3 linked regions of the Rattus norvegicus genome follow. The protein of the gene in region 1 interacts with the protein of each later gene in a pairwise test. Links are inferred from orthologs where the notes say so. Each region holds a gene or a part of one and is shown in the gene's direction. Other genes may lie near its edges.

Evidence for each region.
Region 2: the proteins of Ubash3a (region 1) and Fgfr1op2 interact in binary tests that used the Homo sapiens proteins (3 or more experiments, as listed by UniProt). The link is inferred for Rattus norvegicus from reciprocal best matches to the Homo sapiens genes UBASH3A and FGFR1OP2.
Region 3: the proteins of Ubash3a (region 1) and Gfap interact in binary tests that used the Homo sapiens proteins (3 or more experiments, as listed by UniProt). The link is inferred for Rattus norvegicus from reciprocal best matches to the Homo sapiens genes UBASH3A and GFAP.

The regions. Positions count from the first base shown.
Region 1 is NC_086038.1:9,290,653-9,298,291, forward strand, and holds the start of Ubash3a (ubiquitin-associated and SH3 domain-containing protein A), read left to right. Parts: upstream 1-3,037; 5' UTR 3,038-3,092; coding exon 3,093-3,205; intron 3,206-4,912; coding exon 4,913-4,966; intron 4,967-7,639. UniProt on the Homo sapiens protein: Interferes with CBL-mediated down-regulation and degradation of receptor-type tyrosine kinases. Promotes accumulation of activated target receptors, such as T-cell receptors, EGFR and PDGFRB, on the cell surface.
Region 2 is NC_086022.1:181,220,989-181,226,892, forward strand, and holds the start of Fgfr1op2 (FGFR1 oncogene partner 2 homolog), read left to right. Parts: upstream 1-1,309; 5' UTR 1,310-1,626; intron 1,627-5,904. UniProt on the Homo sapiens protein: May be involved in wound healing pathway.
Region 3 is NC_086028.1:88,357,067-88,363,100, reverse strand, and holds the start of Gfap (glial fibrillary acidic protein), read left to right. Parts: upstream 1-1,439; 5' UTR 1,440-1,440; coding exon 1,441-1,895; intron 1,896-2,744; coding exon 2,745-2,805; intron 2,806-2,966; coding exon 2,967-3,062; intron 3,063-3,827; coding exon 3,828-3,989; intron 3,990-4,886; coding exon 4,887-5,012; intron 5,013-5,172; coding exon 5,173-5,393; intron 5,394-6,034.

The DNA.
Region 1 (7,639 bases):
GCACACATTTTCACTTTTCCCTGGTAAAATCTAAAATCAGAATCGGTCCTGTCGCAAATGCATGTTGACCTTTATAAGACATTGTGTCAACACGTTGAACGACAATCCCACCGAAAGCATGGGTGTTTCCGAGAGGTCCCTCACCTTGTTGAAGCCTAACCTTATTGGTCCTTTTGACTTTAGCTCCAAGTCCAGTGGGTGCTATGGAACTGTGCTGTGGTCTTCTTCTATATCCCTCAGTGACAGATGAGGTCAGACGTCTTTCATGAGTGCTCTCGCCTCTTCTCCACCAGGTAGCAGTTAGACACGTTACCGATTTTAAAGATGTGTTTGGTTCTCTCGTTAGCTGTTTGAATACATGCATGCCCTGTACATTCCGGGTATCAGACCAAGTATGTAGGCGCGTGGGAGGGGGTATTTTCTCCCACTCAGTGACTTATCTTTCTTTTCGTTTCCTTTACAACACTTTTCAAAGAGTAAACATTTATGATTTTGACGAAGCCTGATGTGGAAGAATAAAAGATCGCGGGTTACTCCTGTTGTGCCCCAAGAAAGTTTTATAAGCTAAAACACAACATGTATTTCTCTTCTAGGCTTTCTTTGACAGGTTTGGTAGTTTTTGATTTTACGTCTGAGCCCACCATCTATTTTGAATTAACACCATACGTGCTTGCAGTTCCCCAGCACTGTTACGGAAGGAGCAGCCCTTCCTGGGGAGTTAGAATGCCCGATTATTGATTATTGACAGTTGACTGATGTATATGTGAGTCACCTGCACCCTTCCCGGTACATATGCAGCCTGCTCTTTGATTTTTACATAAAAGAGCTAAGAGCAGAGGACAATCTCACAGCTAAATCAGCACACTCTCACACCATAGTGGTTTTTTTAAAAAGGAGCACAAAAATGAACAAATCAGATAAGAGAACACGACAAAGCCAGAAGCAAACTGGCTGACAATACGCTGGTGGCATGGGCTCATCTCGTCAACGGAGAATAAAGAACCTTTAGCCCCACCTCGAACCATTCCCAAAGTAATTGTGTGTCTGCGACACACAATTGTGACAGTGTATGGTGATGTACCATACCCTAACCCCCACTGAGCTCAACGGGAATGACAACCACAGACAAACTTCTAGAACAATGTGGAGGAGACCGCGTTCACTGGTGCGTACGAACAGCGATTTCTCGAACAGGATGCAGAAGGTGCCAGCCAGAGAGAGCTTCCACAGAGTGATTAAAAAATAAGACTGGGGTTGGGGATTTAGCTCAGCAGTAGAGCACTTGCCTAGCAAGCGCAAGGCCCTGGGTTCGGTCCCCAGCTCCGAAAAAAAGAAGAAAAAAAAAAATAAGACTAACAAGCCAAATCTCGGGAGGAAGGAGCAGAGAGATCCAAGAAGACACTTCCCCAGAGAGACTGCTCTGTGGCCAGTAAGCCTGTAGTCAAACAGCCCTGGTATTTTGGTCCGTAGTTGAGGAATGCAAATTGCAACCACATGGAGATGCTACTGTAAACTGACCAGAGGACTGAAAACAGAAAAAGAAAAAAAAAAAAAACAAAAAAAAACCCAAAAAACCAAACACACCAAGCCTCTCATCCTCAGAGGGCCAGAGGGTAGATTGTCGATTCGGCCCACATGTACTCCAGCAAAAAAGTAGGTGGAAGAACCAGGCACCGTTTAGTAGGATGTTTGTCAGGGTAGCAGTGAAGTGCAAGCATGGGTGGATCCCATAGACATCGATTGGAGCCAAGAATCAGGACAGGAGGAGCTAAGGGGCTGCAGTTGCCTAGCATGGATGGAGCTCTGGATTCAATCCCTGGCATCATGAAAAGAAAAGAAAGGAGAGAAGAGAAGAGAAGAGAAGAGAGGAGAGGAGAGGAGAGGAGAGGAGAGGAGAGGAGAGGAGAGGAGAGGAGAGGAAGGGAAAGGAGGGGAGGGGAGGGGAAGGGAGAGGGAAGGAGAAGGGAGAGGGGAGGGGAAGAGAGGGGTGGGGAGGAGAAAGGAGGGGAGGGAAGGGGAAAGGAGGAAGGGAGGGGAGGGGTGGAGAGAGAAAGAGGACAGAAGAAGGGAGAGAGGAGAGGGGAGGGGAGGGGAGGGGAGGAGAGGAGAGGAGAGGAGAGGAGAGGAGAGGAGGAAAGTGGGGAGCGGAGGGAAGGGGAAGGGAGGGAAGGGGAGAGGAGAGGAGAGGAGAGGAGAGGAGAACACAGCCATGATAATAGAGCATGAGTTCCAGTGTTCTAGCTACACGAGTCTTCAAATTAAAGCACAAAAGAGATTCCAAGGGGATAACCTTGGAAGAGGGAGGCAGGGAGGGGTAGGGATGCTTCTAAGGGTCTGGAAAGTTCTGGAGCAGCATTTCCTAACCTGCCTTGCTGATACTGGGCAAGCCTGCCCTTTTCTGTACAGACAGTCCTGGGTCCTGTGGCCTCTGCGGTTGGCATCCACTAGTTGCCAAAATGTCTCCAGACACTGTCAACTGTCCCCTTGCGGGGGTGGGGGGTGCAAAAGTTAAATGCTGCGGGCTTTGCATTACTGTTTCATTGGTCCTGGGGAGAGGAAATCTACTCTGTGGAAATTCCTCATGCTCCATACATAGCACTGAATGTTAAAAGTTCTTCCAAAAAAAAAAAAAAGTCAATTAAACCTTTTCTTAGAGTTTTCTAAGCAAGCAGGGGCAGTGTATAGAGTGAACACCCGTGTTTCGTCTGCAGACACAGAGGCTAAGGTCCAGGGTGGCAAGGGTGGGTGCCTGGCAGAACCTACAGAAGAAGCCTGTTCCAGACTCCTCCTTTTGCTCCTCCCTCCCCCACACTCTCAGGTCTTCCTTCTCCCAAACGCACCCAGCAGATCCCAATGATGAACTTCGGGCCAGACCTCAACTGTGGAAGCCGGTGGGTTTGGAAAACATTGGCTGTGGACCGGCAGGGAGAATTGAAGCCGGATCATTGTGCAAACAGGATATTCGCTTGTGTCAGAGAGATCAAAAGAGGCTTGAGGTTTTTCTTCACAGCCTCAGCCTGCCTCCTTCTCCTCTCTCACTTTATCTAATCCTTGCAGTGAGCAGACGCCTCGTGTACGGCAAGCAGGAAGGCATGGCTGCCGGGGAGACACAGCTCTATGCCAAGGTCTCCAACAAGCTCAAGGGCCGCAGCACCTCCTCACTCCTGGACCCCCTCCTGGCTTTGGGCTTCCCCACACATACCGCGTGAGTACTGCGGCTGCCACAGCCCTAGAGCCCGGCTTCCCTGCCTGGGTGGATCCTCTCCTCCGCCTGTCGTGCAACTGGATAACCGAGTGTGGCTGACTTCCTGCTAAAGTGGTCACCTAATTGTGTAAGACGGGCGTCTCACAAGAAGGCCCCTTCCTCTTGCTTAAACATGGAATGGTCTTGAGCTCTGAAAGATGAGCTCTTCCTATTGACTGACAGGGGCATGCGCACATTAGAAGCCATGTGGGCCTCTGGCTGCTCACTTTGGAGGGGGAGGGTTGGAGGGGTTTGGGGGCAAATGTTCCTCTCCTGTGCACTGGCGAATCTTATGGTGACGTTTCAAGGTATGCGACTCTGACATGAGGCTCTAAGGCTAGGATCCCCTGAGAGAATTATCGTTCGAGTTTCTAAGCAGCCCAGGGAAAGTCGCTTGCCTTTAGGGAACACATCTGGAATACCCGGTGACAAAGTAGAATGTGTGAGAAGTTCCAGAGACAGCTCACCCCAGCACCACTGGGCTCATCCAAGTCCCCCTGGGCTCAGAGAGGAAAGAGATGTTGCTGACCGTGGTCAGGGCATCCATCGTAAACCTGCTTCTTAGCGGCCGTCCTCTCAGATCCTTACTCCCAAGGAGACGCCAAGTCGGAAGTATGCTTCAGAGAACCCGGGGCTCAGGCAGTGAGCCAAATAAGTCCTTCGATGAGATAGCAAGAACCTGGCTACCAGGGAGGACATTGGCATCGAAGCTGGTCTCCTCTTCTCCCAATATCGGGGCTTCTTGGTCACTAAATGGGGAACAGAACCCACCAGGAAGCCGCACATGAGAACACCAAGGCCTAAAGAGTAGCCAGCGGCAAGCCTAGGTAGGACAGGAGCAGGCTCCCAAGGCCTCCGAGACCCATTCTGTTTTACTACTCAAGCCGTGCAGTGGGCTCACCTTCCAAATCCCTGCTAGCTTAAACCAGTAAACACCCGAGTGTCTACAGGTTCTTAGGTGGGGCTCAGAAGGGGCTCATGGCTGGACCTCTCTGTCATGGCCTCTCTAGACGGCTACATCTCCACTGCTCTTCGCCCAAATACTGGGCGATATTACACTGGGTTCCAACGTGGACCAGCGGTTTCAGCCACTGATGGTTGGGTGCGTGGCCCACTCTGGTCTCTCTGGCCCAACTCAGCCAAATTGAAGTCAGCCTGTGTACACCCCAGGTCCCAGAATGACTAAGACGCATGGGAACCATGAGGAAAGCACCAGCGAGTAGTGGGGGTGGGGGGAGACACAGGAGAGGGATGTGGATGAGCCTGCCCAGTGGTTAGTTAAGGAACGCTACCTGCTAAGCAACCGGGGTTGGGCTGCATCTGTCAGGGCAGCACAGGCTCGAGCCAGGAATGCAGCCTGTCCCAGCCCAGTTGAGCATCCACAAGTAGATGACGTCGGCTTTGTTGCAGGGTAGCAGGGTGCAGAGAGACGAAAGGAAGAGAGAGCAGAGGTTGGGACTTGACAACCAGGACCCAGGGTCAAGAAATCAAGCCGTGGGTGTGGCATGAGTCACTGTATGAAAGATGGAGATCTTGGCATAAAGGGAAGTCCAGCAGCTTGGCCCTGGTAGGACACAGTGTGGAAGAGAAACCATTTTACTACCAGAGCTCACCCCTTCCAAAGAAGAGCCGAGCGGGCCTTGACTCTGCTGTGTTCTCGTTCCACAGGCTCAAAGCACTGGCGGCCACAGGGATGAAGACAGCAGAGGAGGCCGCAGACTGGTCAGTGGAATGGGGGCTGCATGGTTACCAGGGGCTTGGGTGACTCCACCAGGGACTCTATACCCCAGGCAGGTCTTCTGAGTGGGATGGGGTTCCTGCAGAAAAGATTCAAAATGACATCCATTTGCACCAGTTCTGAGCCCAGAGAAATAGTGAAACCCAACTTTAAGACATAAGGACAGAGGGCTGGAGAGATGGCTCAGTGGTTAGAGCACTGACTGCTCTTCCAGAGGTCCTGAGTTCGATTCCCAGCAACCACATGGTGGCTCACAACCATCTGTAATGGGATCTGACGTCCTCTTCTGGTGAATCTGAAGACAGCGACAGTGTACTCATATAATATAATAAATAAATCTTTTTTTAAGACATTAAGAGATAGAGACTGTTCTCACTTAAAAGCCAGATTTAGGGCTCTGCACAGATTCTTCCAAACATCCTGGCTTCTACCCCTTGCACATAAGTGCAAGCGCTCTCGCTCTCTCTCTCTCTCTCATGCACACACCTGATTTTTTAATCCAAATTTGACTCAAAAAAGATTCATGTTTGTGATATACGTTAAGTAAGCAGGGAGGTGTCTTTTTTTTGTTGCTATGAAATTCACACACTCACAGGCTGCTGCAATGGAGGAGAGTTTAAAGACAGTTGGGAATCCCCAAGGTATCGAAGGGTAAACCCCCAGTAGGGTTAGGGAAAGATGACCCTCCTTACCTCATATTTCAACCATCTGCCTGGGGGGTGAGGTTGGGAGTCCTTGTTTTTGGGAGCTCCTCCCCAGCCTTGGTGTCACTTGCCGTCACCCTTCCACCCAACTGGGAAGTCCCTCCCACCTCTTATCTGAAGAAGCCACAGTGAAAGTCAAACAGCGAAAAGCAGATCCTGGGCTCTGCTATGGCTCAGTGGTGAGGGCTCACCTAAGTGTGGGGACCTGAGCGCTCTACTAGTTCCCTTTCCTGTTGCTGTGAGATCAAACGCTCAACAGAGGCAACTAAAGAAGGAAGGGCTTGTCTGGGAGTGTTTGACAGTGGTGGGGAAAGCCGTGAGATGTGCTGGGATGTGAGACAGCTGGTCTCTTACCATCCACAGTGAGGAAGCTGGGGGAGAGGGGAATGTTGGCCCCTTCCGTAGGATCACTCAGTCACTCATTCGGGTTGAGCCTTCCTTCCTCAGTTGACCCAGCCTAGACTTTCTCTCATGGTGGAGCCTGGCAGTTTCTCTTCTAGGATTGATTCTAGAGTCTAGCAAATAAACGATCAATATTTGCCACCCCAGGTTCCGTGCCGAACTCTATCTACCTAAAAAAACTCTTCCAGCACTAGATAGAAGCCTGGGAGAGGGACCAGGGTTCTGTGTTCTAGGAGAACCTCTGCCTATAAGGCCACAGGCCAAGGATGTACAGGCAGAGTGTGCATAGGCAGAGGGAGCACAGGCAGAGGGAGCACAGGCAGAGGAAGCACAGGCAGAGGGAGCACGGGCAGAGGGAGCACAGGCAGAGGGAGCACAGGCAGAGGGAGCATAGAGAGGGTATGGGTGCACAGGCAGAGGGAGCACAGGCAGAGGGAGCACAGGCAGAGGGAGCATAGAGAGGGTATGGGTGCACAGGCAGAGGGAGCACAAGCAGAGGGAGCACAGGCAGAGGGAGCACAGGCAGAGGGAGCACAGGCAGAGGGAGCACAGGCAGAGGGAGCACAGGCAGAGGGAGCACGGGCAGAGGGCTCACGGGCAGAGGGCTCACAGGCAGAGGGCTCACAGGCAGAGGGAGCATAGAGAGGGTATGGGTGCACAGGCAGAGAGAGCACAGGCAGAGGGAGCACAGGCAGAGGGAGCATAGAGAGGGTATGGGTGCACAGGCAGAGGGAGCACTGGCAGAGGGAGCACAGGCAGAGGGAGCACAGGCAGAGGGAGCACGGGCAGAGGGAGCACAGGCAGAGGGAGCACAGGCAGAGGGAGCATAGAGAGGGTATGGGTGCACAGGCAGAGGGCTCACAGGCAGAGGGAGCACAGGCAGAGGGAGCACTGGCAGAGGGAGCACAGGCAGAGGGCTCACAGGCAGAGGGAGCACAGGCAGAGGGAGCATAGAGAGGGTATGGGTGCACAGGCAGAGGGAGCACAGGCAGAGGGAGCACAGACAAAGGGAGCACAGGCAGAGGAAGCACAGACAGAGGGCTCACAGGCAGAGGGAGCATAGAGAGGGTATGGGTGCACAGGCAGAGAGAGCACAGGCAGAGGGAGCACTGGCAGAGGGAGCACAGGCAGAGGGAGCACTGGCAGAGGGAGCACAGGCAGAGGGAGCATAGAGAGGGTATGGGTGCACAGGCAGAGAGAGCACAGGCAGAGGGAGCACAGGCAGAGGGAGCATAGGCAGAGGGAGCATAGGCAGAGGATATGGGTGCACAGGCAGAGGGAGCACAGGCAGAAGGCTCACAGGCAGAGGGAGCACAGGCAGAGGGCTCACGGGCAGAGGGTGCACAGGCAACACCTCTACTTGGATAGGGCAATGCCCAGAGTCCTGGCAGCCTTACAAGACGGTGGGTAGTCAGGCAGTGCCTCAGAGTTCCAGCCATCTGACTTCAAAGCCAGCCTCCAGATTCTAACTATACACCACAGGCTAAACTCAGTAGTTGAAGGTTGGGGGTGTGCCTGGATGTTACCTGTCAGTAGCAGCCTGGCCAGTGA
Region 2 (5,904 bases), on another chromosome or scaffold:
TAGCTCATACTTCTTTTTCTTTTACAAAGCACTTAAAATAGAAGAAAACATTTATACGCATTGTATTTGATTCCTATGCCCACAAACCACAGATCCATTCTTCAAATGTATTTATGCTGACCCTTCTTAGGGGCCGAGGAAAATCCACAGGAAAAGACTGACAGCAAAAGTATAACCCCAAATACACACACATCTCCTAAGGTAACTTGCATATTGGGTCTTCCTATGGCCCAAACTCTCATCCTCTCCCTCAACTTGCAATACACTACAGTAATTCACCATGTAGACCAGAACAGATGCTATCTCATGCAGATGAGGAGGAAACACTTCTAAAACTTTTATATATATATATATATATATATATATATATATATATATATATATATATATACACACACACACACACATATATATACATGTATACACACACACACACGTGGTGCACTGCCCCGCTTCGCTCTTAAAATTTTAGAGCAAAAAAAATTTTTTTTTAAAAATCTACATTCTAAAAGCACATGGGAAACAGAGCAAGTGTAACGAAGCATCTTAGGGACCCGCTATTACCTCCGGCTGCTCTGGAGCGCACCGCCTCTCCCCGCCCAAAGTCCCTGTCTGCAACCTTCTGCACACACCTGGCTGCTAGGTAGAGGGGTGGGGGGGGGGGGACAAGGTGAGTGGACGGGAAAGCCCTCGGCGTCGAGGTTCGCTTACTTTCGTGCCTGGTCCTGTAGTGAGCGAACGGAGGCTAAGGGAGAAGGCAGACGAGGGTGGGTGGGGAGTCGGCGCACAGACGGTCTGGTACCACCCGCAGAAGACTGACTGCCCGGCTCATCGCCCAACACTCCGGCTTCTTAAACGCAGGAGCGCGCGCATGCGCGTGCACCCACCAAAGCGCACTCGGGCTCGCGCGTGCGCACGGCGCTCTCGCACAGTCCCGCCATCTTCCCCTTCCCCTTAGAGGCTACCAGAGGCCGAACCGGAAGAGGGCGGAGCAAGTGAGGGGAAAAAAAAGAAGGCTCTAACGATTGTTCCCAATCGACCGTTGGGAAGAATGGTCAGGACCACCTGAGAGAACCCCCAAAGTACTAGCCGCAGCCGGGATAAGCCGGCCTCGGCTCTGCACAGGCAGAGCGCACCCACTCAAGCTCCCCTCTCCGCCTTCAGTCCAGACCGGTAGCCCCTCGGAAAACGCGCGAGAGAGTGCGAGCCGCCAGAGCAAACCCGTGAGAGCAGAAGAGGGAAGCCCCGCCCCCTACCCATCCACCAATCAACAGCCAGCCGCCTGCAGGGGGCGGGGCTTTCGGTAACTCGCGGAGGGAAGTCTCGCGAGGCTTGTCGCTGTGTGGCTGCCAGTAGCGGAGGTTCTGGTCCGCCCGGGATGGAGCCGAGGCAAGCGGGCTGCCGGATCCTCCCTGCCGCTGTGTGAGCAGGGCTGTGTGTCCGCTCGCTGAGCAGGCGCAGCGAGGCCGCGGAGAGCACTCTCTGGGCGCCTCCATCTCGCGGGTGGTGGTCGCCGTCTCTGACGGCTGAGGGGGACTGAAGCTGAGTGGAAAAACACGAGTGGGTGAACCTCTGAGCCGGGCTCCCTGTCTCCGTGCTCTCACTGAGCTCCTGCCGGGAACAGAGGTACGGAAAGTTCCATGAAAACCCCCGGGCCTGCAGGCCACGGGACACCCTTTCCGGGTTTCCTTTCCTGCCACTCCGGAGCTCCGTGGGCGGTGGCTGGAGGGACTTGTCGGTGTTGAGTTTGCCTCAGCGCACTCGACCGCGTTTGCGACTGGGACTTAGCCACGATCCTGAGGGAGCTGCTGAGATCGTTTGAATCCCTCAGCGCCCTTCCAAATTCTGTTCCAAGTTGGAACAACTGGCTTCCCTCAGACAGATGTTTCAGAAGCTCCAAGTGTGTGCTTTCCACCATTTTCAGGAACAGTGCAGTTCCTCTGCTTCCAGAGTGATGAGTGGGGGCTGGATGCTTATTTGTGTGTGTGATCCGCACGCATTCTTTCTTTATCCCATTCTTTGAAAGACTCATGCCGTATATTGCCACTGTCATCTTTGACAAGAGTGAGGACCCTGTCTCTTTTCTTCCGGTCCCTGATCGTAGTACCGTCCCCCTTTCCAGAACACGGACCTCAGAATTGTCTAAGGCTCTGTATTCCACTCACACTGCACCAGATTTTTTGCTTCTTTCACTGTGACTATGACAGTTGCCCTTCCTCCACCCCAAACCGGTGTGCCCGCCTCAGCCTTCCATACTTACTGTGAAATGCATTCTCTCTCCTTAAACTTTTTCAAGTTCTAATTTAAGCCTACCGATCCGTCAGGGCTTTTTACCGTCCTATCTTAAATCATATTTTACCTCTTCAGGGCCATCCTGTTGCCGCCCCTAATTTTTTACCATCCACTTATGCCCGGCTGTTGGGGGTTTCCCAAGCATACCTCACATTTCCGCCACTGCTGTGTGAACCCAGATAGTCTGTTGGGATGCTTGGTTTTCCTTCTGTCTCATCGTCTCTCAAAACCCTACGTCTTTTTAGACTCCCTCGGGTGACATCGATAACACAGTGAACTCCCAGAGCTCTTGACATAATTCCGCAGTATTTATTAGGATGCATTATTTGTTCAGTTACCTGTCTCTCCTGCCAGCTTGAACTTGAATCTGGAATCGTGTCTTACTCATGTTTAAAACAAATGCTAGTTCAGTGTTGGCTCATAGCAAGCATTATTATTATATACTATTTATAATGTAATCATTCTAAAGAATTTGCTATAAAAATTCTGTCTCTTAAAAATCAGAATATTAGAACCCAAAAGCCCTTACCTGCTTTGAGCATGAACATGAGCAGCCTTGTAACCCTAACACTTATGTAATTAATTGTACTTTTGCTCTTAGTGGATGGAGATTGTATATAATATCAAATGCACATGCATGCACATACCCTATGCATTCAAATGATTTTATATTATGTTAGTATCATGTTTAACAACTAGGATCTTATGGGATGCAAATGTTTTTGATAGTGCTCAGCATAAGAAAAATTCCAACTCTTGGCCATATGTTAGAAATAACTGGCTTGGGTTAGGTTAGTTCTTTTTGGGATTGTTAATTTGAACACACAACATAGCCACAATTTTAGGGAGTGTATAAATTGGTCTTGATTCAATGTGCTCTTTCTCTCAAATTGTGTTCCTTTCAACTTTAAGAATTGATTTTCTTCATAAAGCTCCAAGTATATTAATATTCAAGGACAGTAGGAATTTTCTGTACTTTCAAATAGTGTATGTGCTGAACAAGATGCTCATTTTTATATGTTCTTTATAAACATTTTGTTTGTTTGTTTATGGGTGGTTGTTGGAGGCTCTACATAGTCCTAGCTGTCCTAGAACTCACTAGGTAGACCAGTCTGGCCTTAAGTTCACAGATAAATCAACTGGCTCTGCCTCCCTAGTGCTGGGATTAAAAGTATATACTCCCATAACTGGCTATATACATTCTTGATCTCTTAAAATATTTCTCTAAGGACTTGAAACACATTTTTATGTTGCTATTTTCATGTGCCAGTTAATATAATATTATTGCATATTTAATAACACTAGAAGTACCAACCTGAGCAGTAACAATTTAAATTTTTGACATCTAAAAACATGTCATATCATACCATGTTTTTGTATCTCCAGAAATTGGATGATTAGTAGATTTGCTAATAAAAGAAACAAGAATTACTTGAATTTCTTTAGATTTTTCTTAACTAAAAGCTAAAAAGTATCCAGCTGGCAATTGCTGCTGTGGGTAGGTGGTGGTTTCTCTTTAATGAGCAGCAGAATGTTCTGGACCATCTGTAAGAATCTGACTGCAGATGTCTTAGTGGTAGAGTGGGTGAAAATGTGGCTAAGCAGGAAGCAAAAGAAGAAAGAAAACTTGTTTCTTAAAGGCATACCTCTGTAATTTGAGCCTACCTGTTTAAAATAATTTAAGAGTATTATGACTAGTTAAGACAAAACTGAAAAAATAGGTAAATAAATTGAAAGTATTCCTTTTTTAAATTGGATTCACTTTTTTACTGTGTAACAAAATGTGGAAAATATCTCTCCCACTTTACTAGTCAAAAAGGGAGAGAAACATCTTTCAAAAAGGATGGCAAAGCAGATTCATATTATAAAATATTTAGGTGTTAAGTTTTCTGTTTATAATTCCTTGTGTGTAGATGATTTTTTTATACTTCTAAAACATAAAATGTAGTTCATTTTGTTAGTTTTTGTGCAGCCTAGAGAACATTTTTTACAGTAGTAGTTTTTAAAAGCCCACCATAGGGGCTGGGGATTTAGCTCAGTGGTAGAGCGCTTACCTAGGAAGCGCAAGGCCCTGGGTTCGGTCCCCAGCTCCGAAAAAAAGAACCAAAAAAAAAAAAAAAAAAAAAGCCCACCATAATTTATTGCTAGTTAAGACTAATTTTTATGTATACTTAAAATAATTGCTAGATTTTTATAGTTATGAAAAGTATTTTAAAAGTTATTGTTTAAAATTGTTCATGTACATTTCCATATGACTCAAAAAAATTGAATCTTTTAGAAGTTCCACTTTGTAGAATCTGGGATTTGTTCTTTCTGTCTCAAGAGGTTGAGACAGTTTTTACATAGAAAGGAGCAAATGGGGCCCTTGGATCCAGCTTGGCTAAAGAGTTCCAGACCTTGCATTAGCTGAGCTGTCATTCAGCTACTTTATTTGGAATTTTTAGTCTTATTTTTTTTTTCAATAAAGAAAAAAAGGAGTTAACACTTGTTCTTTGTCTAAATGGCAAAATAAGATGGTATTCTTCAGGTCTAGAGAGCTACCATTTTGAATTAACTAGAATTATTAGGCCTGCACTTCCCACCAACCCTGATAACCTGAATTTGATCCCCAAACTCACATGGTGGGTGGAGAGAGCATGTTCCAAGTTGTCGTCACACATGTGCCATGGCAACCCACCCAGAATAGTAATATATTATTAAGTATTACCTAGCAGTTTGAGTATGGTTGTGATGGATATCATGACTGTTGTAGTTAAGTTTCTTTAATGATAGTAAACATCTCTCCATGTGCTTTCTGTATTTATTTGCCATTTGTGTATCTTTAGGATAAGTATTAAAGTCTCCTGGCCATTTTTAAAATTAAACTTACTCTTGCTCTACTGATAGCTTTTTTCTAAACAAGTACTTCCCCAGATGTGGATTGGGAATGGCTCCTCACAGGGAGTGTGCCTTCTCCACTGTCTTAACTGTCTTAACTGTCTGTTTATCATCTGGATGAAACCTTGCTCATTAGCCATTTCTATAGTTCTTACGTTTCATACTTATGCTATCATGCCTAAAAACAGATCTTTATCATCTGCAGACTATAGAGATTTTCTTTTGCCTTTTTCCTTAAAACATTACCATTTCTCATTTTATTCTCAAGTTTGTGTTCCATTTTAAGAAAAGCTTTAAGCCATAAAGCTTTGTATTAAATCAAATTAGAATAGTATTGACATAATATTTTTGACATGTACATGTCTAGTTCTTCCAGTGCCACTCATTGAAAAGATGTTAGCATTTCTCACAAAAAAAAAAAAAAGTGTGTGTATGTGTAAGAGTACAGTACCTGTGACCTTGAAGGCCAGAAGAAGGTGAGGGCTTTGTTTTGCAGCTGAGTGTTCCCTGACAGGGGTCTTGGGGTCTGAACACTAGTGCTCACAGTTGAGCACAGCACTGTTAACCACTGAGGTCGATATCCTTTGATTTGCCTTTTCACTTTTTTTTTTTTTTTTACTTTTTTTTTTTTTTTACTTTCTTTTTTTCGGAGGTGGGGACCGAACCCAGGGCCTTGCGCTTGCTAGGCAAGCGCTCTACCGCTGAGCTAAATCCCCAGCCCCTTTTTTTAACTTT
Region 3 (6,034 bases), on another chromosome or scaffold:
AATGCTTTCCGAGAAGTCCATTGAGCTGGGAGCTTGTACTGCACCAAGGGCTGACATCCTGGCAGCCAGGGATGAAAGCAGCCCATGGGGCTACCCTTGCCGTATGCCTCACTGGCGGCAGAGAACAAGGCTCTATTCAGCAAATACCCTGGAGTAGACACCAGAAGTCCAAGCATGGGCAGAGGAAGGCAGGCGTTGGGGGCTGGAGGGGAGCAGAGCTGTCTGTTTTCCAGAAGCCCAAGGGTACAGATGGCGCCTGGGGGGGAACTGAGTGGAGGGGATAGATGGGCCTGAGATCTCAAACATCAACAGCCTCCTCCCCACCAACGATGAAGGTGGAGGTTGGTTTCCCGGACCTACATATCCCCCAGAGACCTGGTGTATGAAAATTCAAAGGAGGTAAGTCTCCTGAGAGAACGGGGGGGCTCACAAATGAAGCCAGCTGTCTTACCCTATCAGGACCTACGTGCATTCCTTCTGTCCTGCCCCCTAAACACACAGCCAGAGGCTCAAATTGATTCTGGAGTCACAAAGGGGGCTTGAAACCCCAGCCCCCAACTCCTGAACTCCAGGAATGAGAAGATAGTACTGGAGGGGTTCAGAGGAGAGGGCTCTGCACATCTGTTGAGAATGGGGGTCCCAGGAGAGTGTAATTTAGGCTGATCCCGGAGGAAGGGAATAGGTTCTTCAAGATCCTAGCATCTCACAGGCCCACAGAGAAGTTCAGAGTTGGGGCAGCCCTGGCTTACAGGCTCTAAGAACTGGAGGCAGTTTACCCAACCCAGCTGTGTGCATGCTGTCCCTCTCTCTGTCTCTGTCTGTCTCTCTCTGTCTCTGTCTCTCTGTGTGTGTGTGTGTGTGCTCACACACGTGTGTGTTTACCACACAAATGTTCATGTGTGTGTACATACATGTGTTGAGGCCAGAGGTCAACCTCAGACACTGTTGACTTGGTTGTCTGAGATAACATTTCCCCCTGGGACCTGAGATTTGCCAATTAGTGTGACCCAGGAAGCCTACTTATTTTCATTCCTCAGCACTGCAGTTACAAGTATGCACTGTCAAACCAGGCCTTTTTTTTTTTTTTTCCAAACCAGGCCTTTTGTATTCGCTCTGTGGCTAGAACTTGGGTCTCCATGCTTGACAGGCAAGCGATTTATGGACTAAGCTGTTTCCTCGGCCCTCTCTTGACCCATTTACCAGAAATGGGGTTTCCTTGATCAATGGTGAAGCCAGGCTGGTGTTCCCAGGAAACCCTTGACTCTGGGTACAGTGACCTTGGTGGGGTGAGAAGAGTTCTCTCCATAGCTGGGCTGGGGCCCAGCTCCACCCCCTCAGGCTATTCAATGGGGTGCTGCCAGGAAGTCAGGGGCAGATCCAGTCCAGCCCGTCCCTCAATAAAGGCCCTGACATCCCAGGAGCCAGCAGAAGCAGGGCAAGATGGAGCGGAGACGTATCACCTCTGCACGCCGCTCCTATGCCTCCTCCGAGACGATGGTCAGGGGCCATGGTCCTACCAGACACCTGGGTACCATTCCGCGCCTCTCCCTGTCTCGAATGACGCCTCCACTCCCTGCCAGGGTAGACTTCTCCCTGGCCGGGGCGCTCAATGCCGGCTTCAAAGAGACTCGGGCCAGCGAGCGTGCGGAGATGATGGAGCTCAATGACCGCTTTGCTAGCTACATCGAGAAGGTCCGCTTCCTGGAACAGCAAAACAAGGCGCTGGCAGCTGAGCTGAACCAGCTTCGAGCCAAGGAGCCCACCAAACTGGCTGACGTTTACCAGGCAGAACTTCGGGAGCTGCGGCTGCGTCTGGACCAGCTTACTACCAACAGTGCCCGGCTGGAGGTGGAGAGGGACAATCTCACACAGGACCTCGGCACCCTGAGGCAGAAGTGAGAAGGGGAATAGGAAAAATGGCTAGTGAGCAGAGAGACTGAATTGAGAGAGGAGCCTGGAAGGAAGGGTACTGCCTCCCCCTAAGGAGAGCCTCTTGGCTGCTGTGTTTCAAAAGGGAGAGCTGTCTTTGTTCCCTAATATGATCAGAATAGCCAGGAAGAGACTGAAAACTTCAGGGATCAGATTCCCAGAGAGAGCTGAGCATTCTGGGTACTTCCACCAAGCTGAGGGAGGCTGTGTGTGGGTAGCCAGGGTACAAGCAGGCAGGTGCTTCAGTCACTGGGCACTATGAATGGCCAGAGAGGTTTGCGTCCACAAGGAGGCTCTTGGTCTCTGAAATATAAGAAATGCAAGAAAGAGCAGGCAGGCCTGGATGCCGGGCCCAGATGGCTGTCTACGACCTGCTTTTGACCCTGCTCAAGTCATTTTGATTGGTTGTAGCTGTAAAGGAGAGGTCATGATACAATCTGTCCTAAAAGATGGTAACCGAGGTCAAACTCTGGGGCGTGGTGCTTTGCTGGGTGGTGGGTATTCACGTGTCCCTCTGGTGCGGGAGGGGCACTGGTGTCAGTGACAGTGGGCGCACGGTGGTGGATGCGTCTCTGGGAACAAGAGCAGGTGCACCAACCCCGATAAGGCACCTCAGTAATGAGTTAAGGAGGAAGCTCTTATCTGTTCACGCTCAGCCAAGGCCTCTGTGTAGGAACCTGCCGTTGCTTACTCTTCCTGCCATTCTACCGATCCTGTGGGATCCGTTTGTGACAGTCCCCTCCCTCTGGAGGTTCGGATAGGGATCCAAGAGTCCTCAGGAAAACCTAAAGCCTGTACTGTGTTCCCTGTCCCAGGCTCCAAGATGAAACCAACCTGAGGCTGGAGGCGGAGAACAACCTGGCTGTGTACAGACAGGTCAGAGAGATGAGAGGGAGGGTGGGGGAGGGGAGGCGGAGGGCCGCCCACCAAACACCGCAGTTGTCTGCTTCCAAGATCCCCACAAGGAGGGGGAAGACAAAGTTGGAAATTTTAGTAGCTAGGACCCTGGGGTCAAAGAGATTCTCTCCCTGCTCCAGGAGGCGGATGAAGCCACCTTGGCTCGTGTGGATCTGGAGAGGAAGGTTGAGTCGCTGGAGGAGGAGATCCAGTTCTTGAGGAAGATCCATGAGGAGGTGAGGCCAGGGAGGGGGAGGGAGGGGCCTTACGAGAAACTGCAGGTGATAGACAGAGACGCTCACAGAGGGAAACGGAGAAACCAAATTTCAGGAAGAAAACAAAAACGAGAGAAAGAGTGAAGACAGAGACTAAGGGAGATGTGTCCAGTATTTACTACCCGTGAAAACACACGCAGGCCTTCCGCCGCCATGTTCTGAGAAGCACAGAACCGAGTCTTGAGTTTCTCCTTCACATCAGCTCTGCGAGCCTTATCACTACCTCCTTCACAACTGTGGGGACCTTGAGGCCCAGAGAGGTTAAAACACACCCCCAAAGTCACACAGCTGAGAACCCCTCTGAGGACCTGTCACAGTGGTATGCATCTCAGCCTGTGAGTGGTAGACGTGGAACGTTTGAACTGTTCAAGGCCAATTTCAGCCACACAGAAAAACTGAGACCAGCCACGCACGCACGCACATCTATTCTCTGACCTCAGAGCCTGGCTGCAAGACATATTCATTCATGCCTGGTTCCTGACTATGCAGTCCTGAGAGGAAGGCACCCTCAAATTCTCATTCCATGCCCATTAGACGCTTTACTTTTACTTTTTGACAGGATATCACTGTGTAGCCTTGGCTGGCCTGGAACATGCACTTCCTCCAGTAACATCTGCCTCATTTCCGTGAGCCATTGCTATAAATGGCAGACAGAGGCGTGAGTCTGGGAGAGTGCAGCCTAGGCCTGAGGCTTGAGCCTCAATACCCCTTCTTTTACCTTATTAGGAAGTTCGAGAACTCCAGGAGCAGCTGGCCCAGCAGCAGGTCCACGTGGAGATGGATGTGGCCAAGCCAGACCTCACAGCGGCTCTGAGAGAGATTCGCACTCAGTACGAGGCAGTGGCCACCAGTAACATGCAAGAAACAGAAGAGTGGTATCGGTCCAAGGTACCTGTGGGGCAGCTTGCCTCTTCCAGGAAGTCTTCCTGCTCCCTCCTGAAGAATAAAGGAAGGAAGGAAGCTAGGGAAGGGTAACCTATCTAGGTGTCCAGTCTTGCCCAGAGAGAGGAGACTTGCCCAAAACCACGCAAGCATTATTACTTCCCAAACTACTCTTGGTTACTGCTATTATAAGTAATATCAGTAATAGTTAATAATAGCTAAAAGGCTCACCAGTTTGCTCAGTGTCACACAGCTCCTAAGTGACAAAGGGATAGCGTTTCCTATCCTAACCCATATCATCAGAGAGCCTGCTTTTTGATGCCTCTGCCAGCCTATGCCCTGCATTACCGAACATCTACTGTGTGTCACGTTCTTTTTTTCTTTTTTTGGAGCTGGGGACCGAACCCAGGGCCTTGCACTTGCTAAGCAAGCGCTCTACCACTGAGCTAAGTCCCAACCCCGTGTGCCACGTTCTTTAGTCCAGATGAGGCCAGCGTTTATACAGACTGTAGGAGGCAGGGACGATGGGGGATGGACTAGGGGTGGGACTTGTGCTAGACAGGCAGCCTAGAGACTCAGGAGAAGAGGGAAGGGCATCTCAGGTGGAGAACAGGGGCTGTGAGGAGGCCTGAGACAGAAAAGCACAGAGACCAGAAATGTCGCTGGCCCAGGGCGCCAAGCCCAGTGTGAGTTAATGAGCCTCACATGCAGGGACAGTCTGGGCAGGATGAAGGCCTAAGAAGTCCTTGGGCTACAGTTGTTCCTCCTAAGGGAGCCCTGAGGTTCCTGGTTTTTCAGTGATCATGTATATCTCCCAGCTCAGGCAGCTCTCTGGGCTGTGCCTTGCGCCATTGGGAGGCTCCAGTCCACTTTCCCTCAATTTTTGGTCCTCTCTGGGTTTAGTTTGCAGACCTCACAGACGTTGCTTCCCGCAACGCAGAGCTGCTCCGCCAGGCCAAGCACGAGGCTAATGACTATCGCCGCCAACTGCAGGCCTTGACCTGCGACCTTGAGTCCTTGCGCGGCACGGTGAGCACGGATCACTGGTTGGATGGGGCAGCAAGAAGTTGCTGGAGGGGGACAGGGATGGAGGGACCGGGGTGGCATAGGCGAACACGGAAGAGATCAGGGGTTGCAGCCTCGAAGTTTCTCAAAATCTCCCGGCCAAGTGATCAGTTCCATCCCGCAGAACGAGTCCTTGGAGAGGCAAATGCGCGAACAGGAGGAGCGCCACGCGCGGGAGTCGGCGAGTTACCAGGAGGCACTCGCTCGGCTGGAGGAGGAGGGCCAAAGCCTCAAGGAGGAGATGGCCCGCCACCTGCAGGAGTACCAGGATCTACTCAACGTTAAGCTAGCCCTGGACATCGAGATCGCCACCTACAGGAAATTGCTGGAGGGCGAAGAAAACCGGTGAGCTCACCTCAGCCCCAGAATTCCTCTTGTTCCTTTCAGTACTCCGGAGTTAGCCTTGTATCCTTCCCACCCAGAGTGTTCAGCCTACGAACAATAGATATTCAAGAAATGTCTGAAGAATAGATGGGTCCAACTACTGGTAATTCTCGGGACTGAGGACTTGAGTTATTCCCCAGATTAAGTGGCTTACCACAAGCATGGCCAACAAAAATGGAATTTCCCATGGTCTGAAGGGCTTGTTCTGCCTCTATGAAGTTATTGTGACTTAAAAAAAAATTCCATCTCCAAAGCCTCCTTCCTGGAAGTATTCTGTGGGGGCAGATAACACAGTCCTGCAGACACTTCCGGCTCCTGGAGAGTGTTGGCTGCTGGGTTGAAAGTTGGTGGTGGAGGCTGGAGAGATAGTTAGGGCTTTGGGTTCCAACATCCATCTTATGGCTTGCAATGGCTTGTAGTAACACTCCAGTTCCAGGGGAACCCACATCTGCCATTGTATGTGTGTGTGTGTGTGTGTGTGTGTGTGTGTGTGTGTGTGTGTGTGTATGTATGCATGTATGTATGTATGTATGTATGTATGTATGTATGTATTAGTCATTATGTTGCTGCTTTAGTCCCAGCACTTGAGAGGAAGAGGCCAG